Linked DNA regions of Arabidopsis thaliana. Each later gene encodes a partner of the first gene's protein in a complex. Each region holds a gene or a part of one and is shown on either strand. Other genes may lie near its edges. A codon is read from its position in the direction of its gene.

Region 1 (5,342 bases):
ACTGCCACGTGTAAGCACGAAACTCACTTGGGTCACAGTACATGCGGATCCAGAGGATCTTTTATACTAATCCAATTAGACTCATCCACGTGTCAAATTAGTTAAATTTAAGTTTTTTTTAGTCCGAAATTAAAGTTAGAATATTAAATTAATTTCCACACACAATCGTTTTTCTTAGTTATTTTACAACTAGCTAGTATAAACGATAACCAAAATGGATGACATCAAAATAATTAATTAGGCCAAAAATAATAATATCAGCAGTCAATAATAAAATTGTGTATGCATGTGTCATGGTACCATTGTTTCTTAAGCTCAAAACATTTATGATGAGCATGGAGGAATATGTGATTTATGTTGACTTGTCATGCATGTATACAATTTATAGCTTCTTCAGTCAACAAAAAAAATTGAAAATGTTAACTTCTCTAAAAGGAGCTTTTCCACAGATTTCAATCAGTTCATGATTTTCTCGATATAAAGTAGGCATGAAATTGACGAATGAAAATGTATGAATTGAAGAAACTATATAATGAAAAACAAGAATCATCAATAAAAATCAAATGTTTCTTACATAGTTTTTTTTTCTTCTTCAAGGAAATCAACTATGTTTTGTTTTTTTATACAATCAGATCATTAGATTAATCGTATGTTTTTGTAACTTAACTTATGTTGATCAGCTTCATTAAAATGAGAGTTTATTCTTGTAAACAAAAAAGTTAGTTGTGATGACTAATATGCGTTTCCGAAACGAAACCCTAAACCCTGCAATAGAAAAGGGATTGTTGAACTTAATTTGTTTTGTGCACGAGAAGATGGATGAAACAGAATTGTTAACCAAAAATCTTATGAACCTAATTCCAAAAATCTTATGAACCTCACAGACTTTGAGAATCGTTTAAATGACTAATGTAAAGATGTGCAAGCAACTGATATGAAGAATTGTTAACCATATATTGTGATATCTCATATTTGTATATATATTTGATATATACAAATATGTTTGTTCCAAATTTTGTTACAAACTACACAGCCAAATATAAGAAGCTATCAAATATTATTTCTTTAGCAAGTTTGAATTAATCAAACGCAGGTCATTATAAATTAAATCATAACAGGTGGTATAAAAACAACGTATTTTGTTAAATTTAAGTGATTGTAGTCTTAGAATTATATATAGGTCTTTTGTTAGAGATGAATAGTTGATTTCTGATGTATTTCCTAGTATTACATCATTAACGCAATGACCATATATAATGATATAGACAACGATGACAGAGAGGTGACTAAGTTAACATGTTATGATCCTCGTCTGAATAAACTAGAAGACTAGCCGCATGAAAATTCTTAGTTAACAAAAAATGATGTTGTCTATATGTATATCTACTACTAATATCATGAACCCAAATTACTCAAGAATTAAAGAAATAATATTCCTAACACAAGTTGGCTTTTCGTAAACTAAACTTACGGTATTGTTTTATGCATCGATCATAATGAATATTTTAAAACACTAAAACATGGTTAAAAAAAAAAGTAATCCACATGCGATTGTTTTGGATTGGTCCTTTTAAATAAACTAAAGTTTTGGCAGAGAGGAACCAAGTAAAAATGGGCATTATCTAAGAATGGTCCTAATTCCAAGAAGATATTACACTCTTTTACAGATTGGACCCAAACACTCATGTGAAGATGAAAAAATAAACTAAGAATACAAAAAGAAGAAAATAAAAGAAAAAATCAGAGATCCCGTCGGAGAAAGAAAAAGAGAAGATAGAGAGATACAAGTAACGGCTTCCACTAATCTTTCGCCTTCTACATTTTTGCTGCTCCGTCCAATTTTTGTGTCTATAAAATAAGACAGCTTCTTTCTCTTGACTTTCCAAATTCACTCAACTTTCTCTCACTCCTTTTTTCTCTCTCTCTCTCTATCCTCTACAGAGCTCGCAGCAACTAGCGCAGGTACTCTCTCTTTCTCACTCCTTAATCTAGATACTAAAGCTGATCATTTTCATATCTCTCAGTAATCCGTTTCGTCTGATCGGGTAAAACACACTTCCAATTACTCCGGTTCCGACCTCGTTGACTTTTTCTTCAGATAGATTCCAAAAAAGTTCTCATCTTTACTTGTTCAATCTCATAGATTCCGATTTGGGTCTGATTGTTACCTCTCCACAACTATTGGGTTCCTCTCAAAACCCTTCGATTTCTTGATCCATCCTTCCTTAATTTTCGATTCTCGAAAACCGTTTTCACAACTTTTTTTTATAAAAAAAAAAATCTGCAAAAAGATCTCTCTGATAAGAATTTTTAAAAACTTTCCCTTTATGGATGCTCTGAAACATAAAAGAGCTTTTAAGTTTATACCTTCCCTTATATTCTCTGTTTTCAAATCTGTCAGAATCTGATCACTCTTTTCTTTTTATCTACTTCAGGATGTTGGAGAAGGTTGAAACTTTCGACATGAACAGAGTCATTGATGAATTCGATGAAATGACTAGAAACGCTCATCAAGTCCAGAAACAAACTTTGAAAGAGATTCTTCTCAAGAACCAATCCGCCATTTACTTACAAAACTGTGGTCTCAATGGAAACGCTACTGACCCTGAAGAAGCTTTCAAATCTATGGTTCCTTTAGTCACTGATGTTGAATTAGAGCCTTACATCAAAAGAATGGTTGATGGTGACACTTCACCTATTCTCACTGGTCACCCTGTTCCTGCCATTTCCTTAAGGTAACTTCCTCTTTTTGCTTTATCATTGATGATTCTGTTTCTCAGTGTGTGTGTTTTTGATCATCAGCTCTGGAACTAGTCAAGGCCGTCCAAAGTTTATTCCTTTCACTGATGAATTAATGGAGAACACATTGCAACTGTTTCGCACTGCTTTTGCCTTCAGAAACAGGTATAGTTTAAATTTGTGTTTATGTTTCCCCCACACACATTTCACACTTTTCTCTGTTCCATCCATTGACATGAACAGAGAAACTAGTGATGTTGTTACTTACCACCGACTATGCCTTAACATGTGATGTTTTTCTTCTTGTACAGAGATTTTCCCATTGATGACAATGGCAAAGCTTTGCAATTTATCTTCAGCAGCAAGCAGTACATATCAACGGGAGGTGTCCCGGTTGGAACCGCAACCACAAACGTGTACCGCAACCCTAACTTCAAAGCTGGGATGAAATCTATAACGTCTCCTTCCTGTAGTCCCGACGAAGTTATCTTTAGTCCTGATGTCCATCAAGCCTTGTATTGCCATCTCTTATCCGGAATTCTCTTCAGAGATCAAGTTCAATACGTCTTTGCCGTCTTTGCTCACGGTCTAGTTCACGCTTTTAGAACCTTTGAACAGGTTTGGGAAGAGATTGTTACCGATATCAAAGATGGTGTCTTAAGCAACCGTATTACTGTCCCATCGGTCCGTACTGCAATGTCGAAGCTGCTCACACCTAACCCTGAGCTAGCTGAGACGATCCGCACCAAATGTATGAGTTTGAGCAACTGGTACGGATTGATTCCCGCGCTCTTCCCCAACGCAAAGTATGTTTACGGGATCATGACTGGCTCCATGGAGCCGTATGTGCCAAAGCTGAGACATTACGCGGGTGATCTACCTCTTGTGAGCCATGACTACGGTAGCTCGGAAGGATGGATTGCTGCTAATGTTACCCCAAGGTTATCTCCAGAGGAAGCTACATTTGCTGTGATTCCGAATCTCGGTTATTTCGAGTTTCTCCCTGTATCTGAAACAGGGGAAGGAGAGGAGAAACCGGTTGGTTTAACTCAAGTCAAGATTGGAGAAGAGTATGAAGTTGTCATCACAAATTACGCAGGTATTACCGTTGTTTTAAGGCTGGAATTAGCGTAGTATCGGTCTCGTAATGGATGCTTATAATTCTCATTTGATCCACATTGCACAGGGTTGTATCGATACCGGCTTGGAGATGTGGTAAAGGTCATTGGTTTCTACAACAACACTCCCCAACTAAAATTCATATGCAGGAGAAACCTGATTCTCTCGATCAACATCGACAAGAACACCGAAAGAGACCTTCAGCTTTCAGTAGAATCGGCTGCAAAGAGACTCTCAGAAGAAAAGATCGAGGTCATAGACTTCTCTAGCTACATCGATGTCTCGACAGATCCAGGACATTACGCTATCTTCTGGGAGATTTCAGGAGAAACAAACGAAGACGTTCTTCAAGATTGCTGCAACTGTTTAGACCGAGCATTCATCGATGCGGGTTACGTTAGTTCCCGGAAATGCAAGACTATTGGAGCCTTGGAGCTGAGAGTTGTCGCAAAAGGAACTTTCCGGAAGATTCAAGAACATTTTCTCGGGCTTGGTTCATCGGCTGGACAGTTTAAGATGCCAAGATGTGTGAAGCCAAGTAATGCTAAGGTTCTCCAAATTCTGTGTGAGAATGTGGTGAGTAGCTACTTCAGCACAGCGTTTTGACTCACTAAAATTGTGTGAAATCAAAGAAAGTGGTTTTTAGTTGTTTATTTCCGTCGTTGTTGTCTTTATTTGTCAATATAGTTTTCTTTACGTTATTTAATTGAGCATAAACTTTTTTTATCTTTATAGAATTTGTATCACAGTGGTTTTACTTTGCTTTTTGTGCAATTAGTGTTTGGGAAATAAATAGATTTCTGATGTGACGTTACCTTTATTATACTTGGAACAAAAAAATCAAGATTCGAATAATTGATTGTCTGTATGGAGAATAAAATTCGGATAATCTAATCTATCTCGATCTGACCTGAACCATATTGTGAAAATATTGTTTTATATTACGATATTCGAAACAATAATGTACGTGTTCGACAATTGAATTTTGGTGCTTCTCTCAAAAACAAGAAGAGATCATAAACAATTAAAAATTTAGAGATCATAAACTCTCTAAATACTTTGCCAAAACAAAAAAAAAACTCTCTAAATATAGATAGTGGTGTGATTTTGTGTGAGAAGCTATACGTGACTACGACATTATTAGTGCGACCGATGTTTATTTAGAGAGTTCTAATTACGAAAAAGTAATCATAGATCTACATATAGTCCACTAATTGAAGTCATTATCTTATAGTAGAATTTGATAGGATCCATTTGAATTTCCGAGTAAGTCCACTAATTGTGTATACTTCACGTTATAAAAAAAAAAAAAAAGGAAATCACTCAAACAAGGTTAAAAGGAAAGTTAATTCCGTTTACGTATGTGGGCTGCAAAAAAAATGGAACCTAATCATAACGGTAAGAGAATACTACCGTTTGTATATATATTACTGTTACAACTTACAACAATAATATATTCTCTTACTGCGTAACAACAACATATG
Region 2 (3,803 bases), on another chromosome or scaffold:
CCATATTAAACCAATTTTAAATTTTGGTAAGTTTATTATTTCCTTCATTCTTAGTTTAATGAGAGTAGCTTTATAATGCTGCTAATGGTGTATATATCACTATATTGTACTAAATTCAGCTTGTTAAAAATATCATCAGTAGTCCCCTTTTAAACAATTGCAGAGTGTAAATCAAAGGTATGCAAATCTTTCTTTTGGTGATGAAAAATACAAATTTTCCTCTTTGCTATTCTTCTTACAACTTATGAATGGTGATGACAGTAATGCAATAACGATATGAAGCTTTGACTAGTTCTTTTCTAGCAATCGAATGACCGAAACCATATGTTTTACAATAGAATTGTATTGATCTTCGAAACAAAGATCACACGTATAAATTATATTATTCGGTGAATGGTGAGTTGATGACAAAAGGATAATCAGAGAAAAACTGTTGGTGTGAGCCACACCGTAGTGGAGTCTCCACTCAAAGCCTCAAAGTAAGGGAACTGACCAGCTTTTATGTTAGTGATCAATGTATTATCTCTTAAGAAGCAAAGAAAAGAAAAACAAACAAAAAAACCCTAATAATAGTGATAATAGATCAGAGGTGTCTTTTTGTTTTCCCTCTAAGCGGAGTTTAGAGAGTGCTTTAGTCTGCATGTCCTCCCAAAAGTGGCTGAGAACCCAATTTCTTTTTATCTTATGTTTGCAGAGCCACTACTTGCATGATTGTAACGTGGCCATCTACTTTATTAATTGCTGGGTGTTATACTATTTTCGTATACGCGGTACTAGACAAGTAGAAAAAGAAAAAAGAATTCCAACTTTTTCTTGTGTTTGTTCTTTTGAAAAGGATGTGACTTCATACTTGGACTCTTTAAGTCGAAACAAATTTTATTTAAATTCCATACTTAGGATGCATAAAAACCACAACACACATTCACTAAGGCTCTCTCGCATTATTAGGGGAAAAAAAAAAACAAAGACAAAAACAGAACACAGCTTAGCAACAAGAGAACAACAAGATTATTCAAATCAGAGATTGTTCTTCCTATACTCAGCAGCATATGCAACAATCTTCTCAGAGTCAGGGAGAGACTTAGACACACTCTCTTTCTCCATGCACCGCTTTGCCCAAGCGATCAGTTTCGGACTCTCTGACTCGATGCTAAAGTTACCAAACTTCTCATAGGCTTGGAACCAACTCGAGAATGTAATCAAGGAAATGTCTACATACCCAAAGCTATCTCCACCAAAGTAAGGTTTATCTCCTAGCTCAGATTCAAGAATCTTCACTGCCTCAATAAATTCCTTCTTGCCTGCTTCTTGTTCCTCACCTTTCTTCCCCCATACCTTGAATTGGGCGTCGGTGAACTGAATCCATTACAGAACATCGAATTATGTCAGAAGGAACCAAACTCATTTTTTCAGATAACCCTAAATCACATTGTTTCAGACTCAAGTTAAGAAATCTAGGGCACAAAAGGGATTAGTTACCTTCTTGTCCACGAAATCAGCCCAGAATCGAGCCTGAGCTCTCCCGTAAGGATCGGAAGGGAAGAACGGGTTCTTCTCGGGCCAAGCCTCGTCGACGTACTGGACAACGTTAAGAGATTCACATACCGGTTTACCGTTGTGGACCAGAACCGGGATTTTCTTGTGAATGGGATTACTCTGGAGGAGTAAAGGGCTCTTGTTCGAGAAATCTTCCTCTCTGTATTCAAACTCAACACCTTTCTCTCGCAACGCAACTCTAGCCCTCATCCCGAACATACTTGGCCAGTAATCCAAAAGAATCGGTAGGTTCGCCATTGCTATAGGATCTCTGAAGTTCACAAAGTGGTATATATTCTTGCTTTTTGTTGTGCGTGAACAAGCGAGTGTGTGTTATAGTAGAGAAGGAGTGAGTGACGGTTGTTTTATAGGGGAAGAAAATGATGTGGAAAGGATTTTGATTCCCGTTACGTCACATCAGCTTTTTTCAAAGCATATTATGGTCCATATATAAATCTTTTAAACAGTAAGCTTTTACCCGTAACGATTTAAAATGTATTTTGCAACTTTGTTAAATAATTGTCATATGTGTGCAACTAGTGAAAACATCACTTAATATAAAAGAGTGTGATTATCTTTTGCTCTGATTCAAACCTTAAACGTATATGTAAGAGATTAGAATGGAATTAGTACTTGACAATATAGAAATCGACTTGATTTATAAGAAGGTAACAAAATAAAAAGTTGATCGAGTGAAGTAATACTTTGCTTAGTTGCTGCATCAGTCTCTACTTTTGGCGTGGCCACCTACTCACAGTTGTTTGTATTATTATCTCTCAGTTAGGTGGGTGTACATTTACCACGTGATTCCCTTGATTTGATATCAAACATTACAATCCGGTACATACGAGGACAAGCTACTTACCATGCATGTACAAGAAATACGCATTTACACAAGGAGTGATAACAGCTATACTAATTTATTGAGAGAGTATTGCACTCTATTAAATATATCACATACACCATTATTTTTTCAATATCAGCATAAGATTTATAAATACATAATGCTTTATCTATGTTTATACTCTAAATTCTTTATATATATAAAGCCTTTGAAATAATATTTTAAAATTTACTAATCGATCCCAAAAATTACAGGATAGTTCTGTGTTAATATCGTTGTTGTAATCGTAAATCAAATTCAAATCCCATGAACTGTGCGGATCATAGTAATGTTATTTGATCTACCGAATTCAAATTCGGCAAGAAACACTAAACCCGTGGCTAATCTGATCATACCGACACTAATGATCACATCAACCACATAACTTCCAATTGACTACAATATGGAGTTATGGATGCCAATTTCAATTTGGGCTTATGGATGCCAATTTGGGCTTATTAGATCCAGACCGGCTTACCATTCTCGATGTTGGAGGTTTTAATCGCCAAACTGCACTATTGTCTTTTACAGCAACATTGGCGTGATAAGCTTGGTCAGGTAGAAGAGTCGTATTGGCGTAATTACATATCAAAGTAACAAATTAATAATCATTATAGATTAACGATCATTAATTAAACTCATAGTTACAATGCATAAAAACTAGGACAAGCCATTAAATCCAGAAAACACAGGAATCTGCTACAGCAAAGACATACATTCTCTACACTCAAACCACCTCACAGATGCTCTGCATTATTTAAGAAAGACAACACACGAAAGTAAAACAGAGAGCATCTTAAGTCCGAACCATATGACAAGAGAAACATATTTACTCAGGTACAAATTTCTTCCTGAGCTCAGAGACGAATTCAGTAACCTTCTCAGGATCAGGCAAGGACTTAGCCACGCTCTCCCTCTGCAAACACTTCTTAACCCAAGCAATCAGTTTCGGAACCTCAGATTCGATACTGAAGTTAGCAAACTTCTCGTATGCTGGAAACCATGTGTAGAATCCAATCAACGCAATGTCTACATAGCCAAAGTCATCGCCACTAAAGTAAGGTTTGTCTCCAAGCTCAGATTCAAGAGTCTTGAGTATCTCAATGAAATCCTTCTTCCCTGCCTCTTGTTCCTCACCCTTTGTCGCCCACACCTTCCTCTGAGCATCATACAGCTGAAACATTGCACAGAGTAACATAACACCAAGCTATGTCAGAACTCAGTCGAACCCAAACAAAGCTCAAAGATGATGTCTACAAAGCAAAACCAGTCCTAGAGACCCCCAAATTGCAAAAGAAACATATCATCAAACTATCTAAGATGAACCCAAACAAAGCTCAAAGATGATATCTACTAGCGAAACTAGTATGTAAAAACCTCAAAT

The links.
Region 2: the proteins of JAR1 (region 1) and GSTU20 are in contact, whole or in part, in a crystal structure (PDB 5ECH), measured with the Arabidopsis thaliana proteins. Residues at the interface, in NP_566071.1 of Arabidopsis thaliana: Leu37, Lys38, Asn39, Gln40, Ser41, Ala42, Ile43, Leu45, Gln46, Leu50, Asn51, Gly52, Asn53, Arg79, Asp84, Thr85, Ser86, Pro87, Ile88, Thr90, Gly91, His92, Pro93, Val94, Pro95, Thr114, Asp115, Glu116, Tyr395; in NP_177958.1 of Arabidopsis thaliana: Pro86 (codon at 1,539), Ser87 (codon at 1,536), Asp88 (codon at 1,533), Tyr90 (codon at 1,527), Ser137 (codon at 1,263), Glu138 (codon at 1,260), Leu139 (codon at 1,257), Gly140 (codon at 1,254), Asp141 (codon at 1,251), Lys142 (codon at 1,248), Pro143 (codon at 1,245), Tyr144 (codon at 1,242), Phe145 (codon at 1,239), Gly146 (codon at 1,236), Gly147 (codon at 1,233), Asp148 (codon at 1,230), Ser149 (codon at 1,227), Pro180 (codon at 1,134), Lys181 (codon at 1,131), Ala184 (codon at 1,122), Trp185 (codon at 1,119), Lys187 (codon at 1,113), Arg188 (codon at 1,110), Glu191 (codon at 1,101).

The regions. Positions count from the first base shown.
Region 1 is NC_003071.7:19,031,906-19,037,247, forward strand, and holds JAR1 (Auxin-responsive GH3 family protein), read left to right. Parts: upstream 1-1,835; 5' UTR 1,836-2,327; coding exon 2,328-2,359; intron 2,360-2,435; coding exon 2,436-2,735; intron 2,736-2,802; coding exon 2,803-2,904; intron 2,905-3,050; coding exon 3,051-3,838; intron 3,839-3,925; coding exon 3,926-4,464; 3' UTR 4,465-4,540; downstream 4,541-5,342. UniProt on the Arabidopsis thaliana protein: Catalyzes the synthesis of jasmonates-amino acid conjugates by adenylation; can use Ile and, in vitro at least, Val, Leu and Phe as conjugating amino acids on jasmonic acid (JA) and 9,10-dihydro-JA substrates, and to a lower extent, on 3-oxo-2-(2Z-pentenyl)-cyclopentane-1-butyric acid (OPC-4) and 12-hydroxy-JA (12-OH-JA).
Region 2 is NC_003070.9:29,483,411-29,487,213, forward strand, and holds GSTU20 (glutathione S-transferase TAU 20), read right to left. Parts: upstream 1,980-3,803; 5' UTR 1,795-1,979; coding exon 1,480-1,794; intron 1,357-1,479; coding exon 1,018-1,356; 3' UTR 710-1,017; downstream 1-709. Other genes in the region: GSTU19 (glutathione S-transferase TAU 19), read right to left, coding at 3,249-3,593. UniProt on the Arabidopsis thaliana protein: Exhibits glutathione-dependent thiol transferase activities. Can use glutathione (GSH) and 1-chloro-2,4-dinitrobenzene (CDNB) as substrates. Involved in the regulation of far-red light influence on development.